2 linked regions of the Bombyx mori genome follow. The main gene of each other region encodes a partner of the protein of the gene in region 2 in a complex. Links are inferred from orthologs where the notes say so. Each region holds a gene or a part of one and is shown on either strand. Other genes may lie near its edges.

The links. The genes of interacting proteins can lie anywhere in the genome.
Region 1: the proteins of regulator of MON1-CCZ1 complex (region 2) and vacuolar fusion protein CCZ1 homolog are in contact, whole or in part, in a cryo-EM structure (PDB 8JBE), measured with the Drosophila melanogaster proteins. The link is inferred for Bombyx mori from reciprocal best matches to the Drosophila melanogaster genes Bulli and Ccz1. Residues at the interface, in NP_648047.2 of Drosophila melanogaster: Tyr395, Gly397, Phe407, Tyr464, Ser467, Met470, Leu471, Gln474, Asn477, Asn498, Arg499, Asp502, Thr503, Arg505, Arg506, Leu507, Tyr510, Met512, Asp530, Thr531, Ala532, Gln535, Ile538, Asp539, Arg543, His547, Ile550, Lys559, Asp562, Leu566; in NP_647835.1 of Drosophila melanogaster: Tyr188, Leu189, Pro190, Leu191, Asp192, Lys193, Thr194, Phe196, Leu197, Arg198, Gln200, Asn201, Glu207, Val223, Leu224, Cys225, Gly226, Lys228, Tyr342, Asn385, Gln387, Ser388, Pro427, Ala428, Asn447, Tyr448, Arg449, Asp479, Phe483, Lys485.

The regions. Positions count from the first base shown.
Region 1 is NC_085114.1:10,377,911-10,381,580, reverse strand, and holds the end of vacuolar fusion protein CCZ1 homolog, read right to left. Parts: intron 3,572-3,670; coding exon 3,390-3,571; intron 2,623-3,389; coding exon 2,537-2,622; intron 1,547-2,536; coding exon 1,419-1,546; intron 721-1,418; coding exon 662-720; 3' UTR 602-661; downstream 1-601. Other genes in the region: protein RFT1 homolog, read left to right, coding at 1-487. UniProt on the Drosophila melanogaster protein: Part of the Mon1-Ccz1 guanyl-nucleotide exchange factor complex specific for Rab7 that promotes the exchange of GDP to GTP, converting Rab7 from an inactive GDP-bound form into an active GTP-bound form.
Region 2 is NC_085117.1:6,360,502-6,364,834, reverse strand, and holds the start of regulator of MON1-CCZ1 complex, read left to right. Parts: upstream 1-1,384; 5' UTR 1,385-1,493; coding exon 1,494-1,613; intron 1,614-1,795; coding exon 1,796-2,166; intron 2,167-3,240; coding exon 3,241-3,362; intron 3,363-3,934; coding exon 3,935-4,056; intron 4,057-4,333. Other genes in the region: protein CC2D2B, read right to left, coding at 70-461. UniProt on the Drosophila melanogaster protein: Positive regulator of the Rab7 guanyl-nucleotide exchange activity of the Mon1-Ccz1 complex, possibly by enhancing its endosomal membrane association.

The DNA.
Region 1 (3,670 bases), on a different chromosome or scaffold from region 2:
TTTGGCAATTGTTTTGTTAGCTATTAATGGAGTTACTGAATGCTATTCATTTGCCACAATGACTAGTAGCCAGTTAAATAGCTATAACTATTTAATGGTAATTTTCTCTGTAAGTTTCTTAGTTTTGTCATATTGTTTGACATATATTTTTGGTCCTATAGGATTCATCATTTCAAACTGTATAAATATGTTTGCTAGGATAATGCACAGTATTCATTTTATAAGGAACAAATATAAAGATACGGAATATAAGCCTTTGAATGGCTTGCTTGTTGGCAAAATATTTTTATCAACATTGTTCATTGCTGGTTTTGTATGTAAAATATCTGAAATTCGCTTATTCCCTTCTTTTATATTACTCCACATATTAGTGGGCGGAATTATGCTGCTATGTGTATTGATAGCTTGGGGCTATGAAAACAGAGAACTGGTTGTTAAGATGCACAGAAAAATTATGAATAAGGAAGAAAAGCTGTCAGTTGATTAATAGTTACCTATTTGTTAACTTTTTCTAAAATATATTTAAGGGTGAACAGACAAAAATTTAATATATATATTTATATTTATGAGTACCCCTACCGAGAGTAATAAAAAGTATCCATGGAATATTGTGTTGTTTTATTTTTAGCAAAATTTTGTATGTACATCTGTTAATAATTTTTTACATAGGGTAAAAGAATATCCCTTTCATTTGTGCTTCACAGACACGCTTCACTTCATCTGTAATAGAAAGAAATACAATAAAATATTTTATTGGTTATCTAGTTAATAATGAAAATTTTATATTGGAAGTGCGAACTAAAGGGAATGTAGTTATGAGAACTGTATTTAATTTCAATGAACGTATATTAAAATTAACAAACTTAAAGTCGTCGTGGCCTAATGGATAAGACGTCCGGTGCATACGTGTTGAGGGATGCACCGGTGTTCGAATCTCAGGCGGGTACCAATGAAATACTTTCTAATGAAATACGTACTCAACGAATGTTCACGATTGAGTTCCACGGTGAAGGAATAACATCGTGGAATAAAAATCAAACCCGCAAAATTATAATTTGCGTAATTACTGGTGGTAGAACTTCTTGTGAGTTCACGCGGGTAGGTACCACCACCCTGCCTATTTCTGCCGTGAAGCAGTAATGCGTTTCGGTTTGAAGGGTGGGGCAGCCGTTGTAACTATACTTGAGACTAGAACTTATATCTCAAGGTGGGTGGCGCATTTACGTTGTAGATGTCTATGGGCTCCTGTAACCACTTAACATCAGGTGGGCTGTGAGCTCGTCCACCCATCTATGCAATAAAAAAAATGCCCATGATATTTTATTTTATATTACACTGTTTATATTATGTGTTAATGTAGCAAATAAATATATTTAATTTGAAAGTTTCCATTGAACCAAGTAAAACTGAGTACGCACCCGCTATTTCTTTAAGGTTGGCATTTTTCTCTTGTATTATCACATAGAATTCTCTGTCATTGGAACATTTTCCTGTTATCCAGTATTCGTCTGGAGTTTTAATTATTATTTCTCCATAATTTCCAAGGCTAGGAAAAAAAAACAAGTATATTAATATTTAATTTTGACTATTGTTTTGTGTTTTAATTTCATCAAAGCGTTCCTTACGAGCGCAAGCATGTTTTGTTTACGTTTATTAAATAACGATATGTTACAATTATTATTTAATTCTTGAACTTCCCACATTTGTTCAACTTATTAATAGTATTATGTTCACTCAGCATGCATATTTGTTTTTTTTTCTTGGCCTATCCAAGCTTATGGACTAGGTCTTGAGAGACCATTTCAGCGTAACGTAACCGGGCGAGTAGGTGAGCTCACGGGTCTCAAACCTGACGTTGTTGCTAACACGAACTCTAGCAAGAGCCATGTTTCGCGGAATCTACCACCGGATCGGAAACGCGACCCACTGAGAAGATCCGGCGAGAAACTCAGTGGGCTGTGTCTGTGGGTTAATTTACCCGCCGAGCCCTTCGTCGCAAGCGACGAGTTCGACGAGAACGATGACCGGTGCATATTTGAATTTTTCTACAACTGCTTTATTCATACCAAAGAATAATGGAGTATTGGTAGACTAGTAATTTTAGCCATTCATTGAGCGGCTGTTCTGTACCCTCAGATGTTTAATTAGGTGCCCCCTTCCTATTTTATTAAGAAGACATGTTATTAATAGGTAGGTAATGAAAATTTGTCGTCTTATGTTGTCCGACGAATCCATCCAAATCATTAGAACTCATCAGGAAAGGATCCGGAGTTTCTTTGGGCACATAATGCGATCCTCATTGCACAGCCTGGAGAAACTCACAATTCTCGGACAGATGGAGGGGAAGCGCGCTAGAGGACGCCAGCTAGATGGGTTGACCAACTCAAGGAGGTGACTGGAGGCCAGATATGGGGAGCGGTACATATGGCGCAGAACCGGACCGAGTGGAGAAGATTGACATACAGTCACGATCCTCAGCATTGAGGGAACGACCAGAACAATAACTAAAAATTATTTTTACTAATTACTGACTAACCTTTGTCGGTCAGCATGAATTCCAGACATGATACTAAGAACTTCAGGTTTTATCGCAGCGGATATTTGCAATTTATTTACTGGTGGCTGAAATTTATGAAATGTTTTACTAGAAATCGTAAAATTCAAATAACATTAAATCTGTGTTATGGTTTACCATCACTTTGTTTATTCTTAACTATCAGCAGCAAGCAGGTACTGCTAAAATTTATTGGTTTATAAGTTTTGTTAGCATAAAACTTATAAACCAATAAATTTAACTGCTAAGTTAAGTGCATAGTTTAAGTTGTCCTAGCTTGATTTGACAATCCTGCCTATATCTGTCGGTCTGTCTGTAAAGTCTGTCTGAGTAGGTACTCATGCGTTTCATTTTTAAAGAGGTGGTTAACTACTACACAGTATAGTTGAGAATTTGAGAAAACGACCTCAAGATTGTAATGTCTATCGGCTCCGGTAACCACCTTAAACCTGATAGAGCGTAAACTCATTCCTTCACCAATATTATAAATAAATAAATAATATAGCGTAACCAAATATGTATCTGAACTTGCGATACCGGCCCCGCCGCCGCCTTACCCACCGCTGAGACAGAACTCTGAGCCAAAAAAACACGCGCCCGCGGCGCGCGCAAATACGACCGGCAAAATATTTTCAATCTTAGTTTGTCTGTACTTTTCTCAACTTTTTTATTTTATTTTAGTTAATTGTGTCGCTTTCTATTAAAATCTTATCCAAATCAGTGTTAACATAATTTCCATATCCTCTTCGCAAACAGCCCGGAACACCGAAGCCCATAAAAAACTCACAAAAGCCCCGCCAGTCGAACTTTTAGCGTTAAAATAAGTATTACTTACAGATGATTTCAAAATTAAATTTAATCTGTTGAAGTACACGAACTTGTGTTCGCTAGCCAGTTGCGCTGCTTGTAATGCGTGCAATGAACATTGTTCGCTGATGGCCGAAGCTATTGCTGATAGCTGCGGCCCAATAAATGCGTCCACTGACTTGACCGTATCAAGTTCCAGCCGAGTGTTTACTGAAAATATTCAATGTTCCTATTTATGTCAGAGCCCTTGGGCATTTTCGTTGAAAAAATACGAGTTGACACATATCATTACCCTACAAGCTTGTATCT
Region 2 (4,333 bases):
ATTATTAGAATAACAATTCTTAAACCGCAAGACTGACAGTACTCCTAATGCTCAATGTGAAATACTCACCCGTGCTCAGCATCAACAGTAAATCGTCTTAAAAATCTCCTAAAAAGAGGAGAACTTTTCTTAATTACTCTATTTAGCTGCATTTCATCAAAACTCACTATCTTTATAGTATTTTCAGTAACAGGAACAGTTAAGGATGCCATCTCCACATTCACAACATCTAATATTTGAGCCTTATCATTTTTCTTCTTAGATTTTTTCTTTTTTACACCTTTGATGCTAATTTTCACAGTTTCGGTAAAAAAATCATATTCGTTTATAGTTATTTCTTTTTTAGAACTTTGCACTATGTTTTGAGTATCAACGACTGCATTGATCTCATGGTACTCTTCAATCTCATCCTGGCTCTCATAACAGGTTCGAAATGTCTGCAGTTCAACATTTTCAGTCATTTCCAGTAAATCAGTTTAATAATATTTTAAAAATTTAAACCTCGATTACTTTGAGTAAAAATTGTCTCAAAGACTTTAAAAACAACTCACTTATTTGTTTCGCCGCCTACTGTTACTCATGGTTGCCATGGTAACTAAAGATTGATCCATTTTTTTTGTACTAATGTAGTAATGACTTAGAACAAAATCGCTTCAATTGCTGTCTATCGTTTGTCTAGTAAATATTTGTAAGCTTGTTTTTAGTTTTTTTCTACCTTTTTTTACCGGGCTGGGGGCCGGACAAAACGCAGCTCACCCCAAGGATGCCCGGCGATGCGAGGCTCTAAAAAAACGTTAGCCGTCACGGTACGGCAGCCCGTCGGGCCACCAGGACGGCGCCGCCGCGCCGGTGTCCCTGAATAGCCCGCTGATTTTTTTAAACCAATATAAATATAAAAATTAAATTTTATTTTGTGTAATCTACAGTTTGCATTGAAATGTCACCTTGAGGGACTTTTTGGCGGGAAGGCGAGGAGTAGAGTTGTGTGATTTGTTTTATTTTGTCTATTTAGTGTTTCCTCGGGGCTAAATGTGTAATAACGGTGGCTTATTAACTGTTTAATATCTGTGAAAGTGCACAAATGTGGGAAAATGAAACAAAGCCACTGGACATAACTTCACGGGATTTTCCAAAAAGTCCACTGAACAAATCTCAGTAAATGACCACCATTTTACTGAAATTATATTTCATCCCATATCGTGTCATCTCATCTCATTTCATTATATGCTGTGTTCCATATGAATCAACTTCGTTTCATTTCACAATATCATTTTTCATTTAAATTTAAACAATATATACATCAAAGATTAGGCTGTATGATATGACACGTTTGCCTTTCCAGTTGAAAAAATAAAACTACTACTATTACCACTGTCGTCTGTCACCTTGATAGGAGAATAATAGTGTCAACTGTCGAGGTCAAATTTCCAAAACAATGACAAATAGTTTATCATTTTATTTTAACTAATATTCTTAAATAAAAATATAAGAACATGGCCAGATTTAATTTGAAAGATAGTGATGAATATTACTTGACTCTCACCGAACAGCCCAAACGTTTTGACCCGGACTGCCCTGTGACAAATGTATTTTTTGACGACACTAATGGACAGGTAAATAAATCATGTTTTCTTAAAATAATGTAACAAATTTAAGCCAGAATGTTCGTGGAAAATTAAAAGATTATCCCCAGATTCACTTAAGTTAAGCTTGGTACCATATAAGGTACATTTAAGGACAGTATTATATATCATTCGAGTTCTACTTTATAATACAATATCACAATTTTATTTAGGTATTCACAGTACGTTCGGGTGGAATCGGAGGCGTAACCGTAAACAGTATGGATGATAGAAAGTGTACATCTTTCCAAATGGAAGACAAAGGACCCATAATATCAATTAAATTATCACCCGACCAGAAAATATTGGCGATACAACGTAATCATGAGAGTCAGAGTGCTGCAGTAGAATTCGTGAACTTCAAGGACATGTCACCTACTAATGTAGAGTACTCTCACAGCTGTAAATGGAAGAACGCAAAAATATTAGGCTTTGTTTGGCCTAAAGCAAACGAAATTGCGTTCATAACTGATCACGGTATTGAGCTGTTTCAAGTTTTACCTGAGAAAAAACAATTGAAAAGTTTGAAGAATACCACATTTAGGTAAAGCATTTTTCCTACTAAGGTGCCACTAATTATCTTCATTTGTAAGTTGAAAATTCAATTGTATAATAATATAGAGCTATTATATTCTTCATCACTACATTTCTAAAGATCCTTTTGCCTCAGCAGCTGACTTTAGAACGAACCTACAGTGTTTTCTGAGTGCCATGCTCTTCTGTAAAGCTTGAGGAGGGTCCCTAGCAGTAAGCAGAGGCTTGGTTCTGCCTAGACATCATTAACATCTACGGGAAATGATCACCATTTATTATCAGTTGGATCGTAATATACTTTGTATGTCTATAATGGTAATAAAAAAATCATAATGTCTCTAGGTGGAGAGCAGTAGACATGCAGATCTAGATAAAGAGCTATATGAAATTTAATTGGCTCTTTAAACCAAAATAGCATAACATCCGGCTACAGTCACATATTCATGTTAAAGTATGCATTGTAACATGGGGGCAAACTGAAATGCATTAGCAGACTGTGACACAAATAGTTGCATCCAGGAAACTACTTGTGTGGATTCACAATACACTATCTACAGTCGTATGTGCAACCCACAAAAACTACTGGGTAGATTTAAAATAAGATTTCTTGAATTGCGCCATAGTGCAACAACACAAAGCAGCACGATAAACAATTAGCCGCATTGTCCGCGTTTTTTTTTGTGTGTGTGTGTTTTTTTTTTTTTTTTTTTTATTTATTGCCTTGATGGGTGGACGAGCTCACAGCCCACCTGATGTTAAGTGGTTACTGGAGCCCATGGACATCTACAATATAAATGCGCCACCCACCATGAGATATAAGTTCTAAGATCTCAGTATAGTTACAACGGCTGCCCCGCCCTTCAAACCGAAACGCATCACTGCTTCACGGCAGAAATAGGCAGGGCGGTGGTACCTACCCGCGCGGACTCACAAGCGGTCCTACCACCAGTGAAAAAGAGTGTCGTTTATATGTATTAACATTTTATATTACAACACTTCCTAATAAAGATTCATTTGATTTCACAAAAATACAGAATCAGCATTGTACCCTGAAACTACAAAATTTCTCTCCATTAAATTTCAGTGGTGCGTGGTTTTCGTGGTGTCCACAAAGCAATATAGTATTGTTAGCTGGAAACAACGGAATCCTCTTGCAGCCATTTTACCTCAACAATTCTACTATAACAAAACTACAGAAGTTAGAGTGTAAGTACTGTCAACAATAAATTATTCTATTGTATCATAGATACGTGCGTGCGAAGGTGATACAAAAGGGTGGTCACAACCCTCAGCAATGAGGAATGGGACGCAAGGAGGAGGACCATAGATACAAACTCATAGTCTACCAATCACCCAAACCACAATGTGCAAGGTGTCACCCTCCTTGAGACATGAGGTCTAAGTCTCAATTGTATAGCTTAAAGGCTGATTTGGACATGCCGTATGATTTTAACACACATATGACTCAAATAAGTGTAATACACCAAAGTCGTTGAGCCAAAAGAACAAGAGTACTCCCAGTTATCAAGTCGGGGGCGATGCTGTTCTTGAAGATCTGGAGGTAGTCACCAATTTTCCTTCCAATACACACACTTGTGTGATTTGTGTTAGGAAAACGTGTAATAGACGCATGTGGAGTTATTGCTGAGGCTGCTCGAAGTGAAGGTTGCGTCCCACCCCCCCTTGACCGACTGTCTCAACCAATTTAACGTTACAATTATCTCCAGATTTACTAATTATGAACACACAAACTAATTGGAATACTAATAAAATTACAGTAGATTCAATGAGACCAGTGGTAGAAAGGGACGTCTTCCTGCTCTGCTTGTGCGACACGACATGGTGCGCTGTGTTCAGGCACGGCGTATCCGCTTCTGTTGCTGCCCCCGGGCCTACCGAGGTCAGCCTCGAAACTTTATATATTTATTTAAGCTGCGTATACGGTCACTGAACACAACAATATGGAGGACTCAGGAGGAGTTAGATTGGACCCGGTTACAGTCTCCGGCGTTGGCTACAAGTTCCGACATCAATTAATGCAAAAAGTCTGGGAAAACCACCAGAATGAATATACCAAAACTTATTTGGACAAATATGGCAACATTGTGTTTAGGCAAACGGCTTAAAAAGCTGCTCATGTAATCTTGACCCTCCAAGTTTAGGATTACACATTGTCA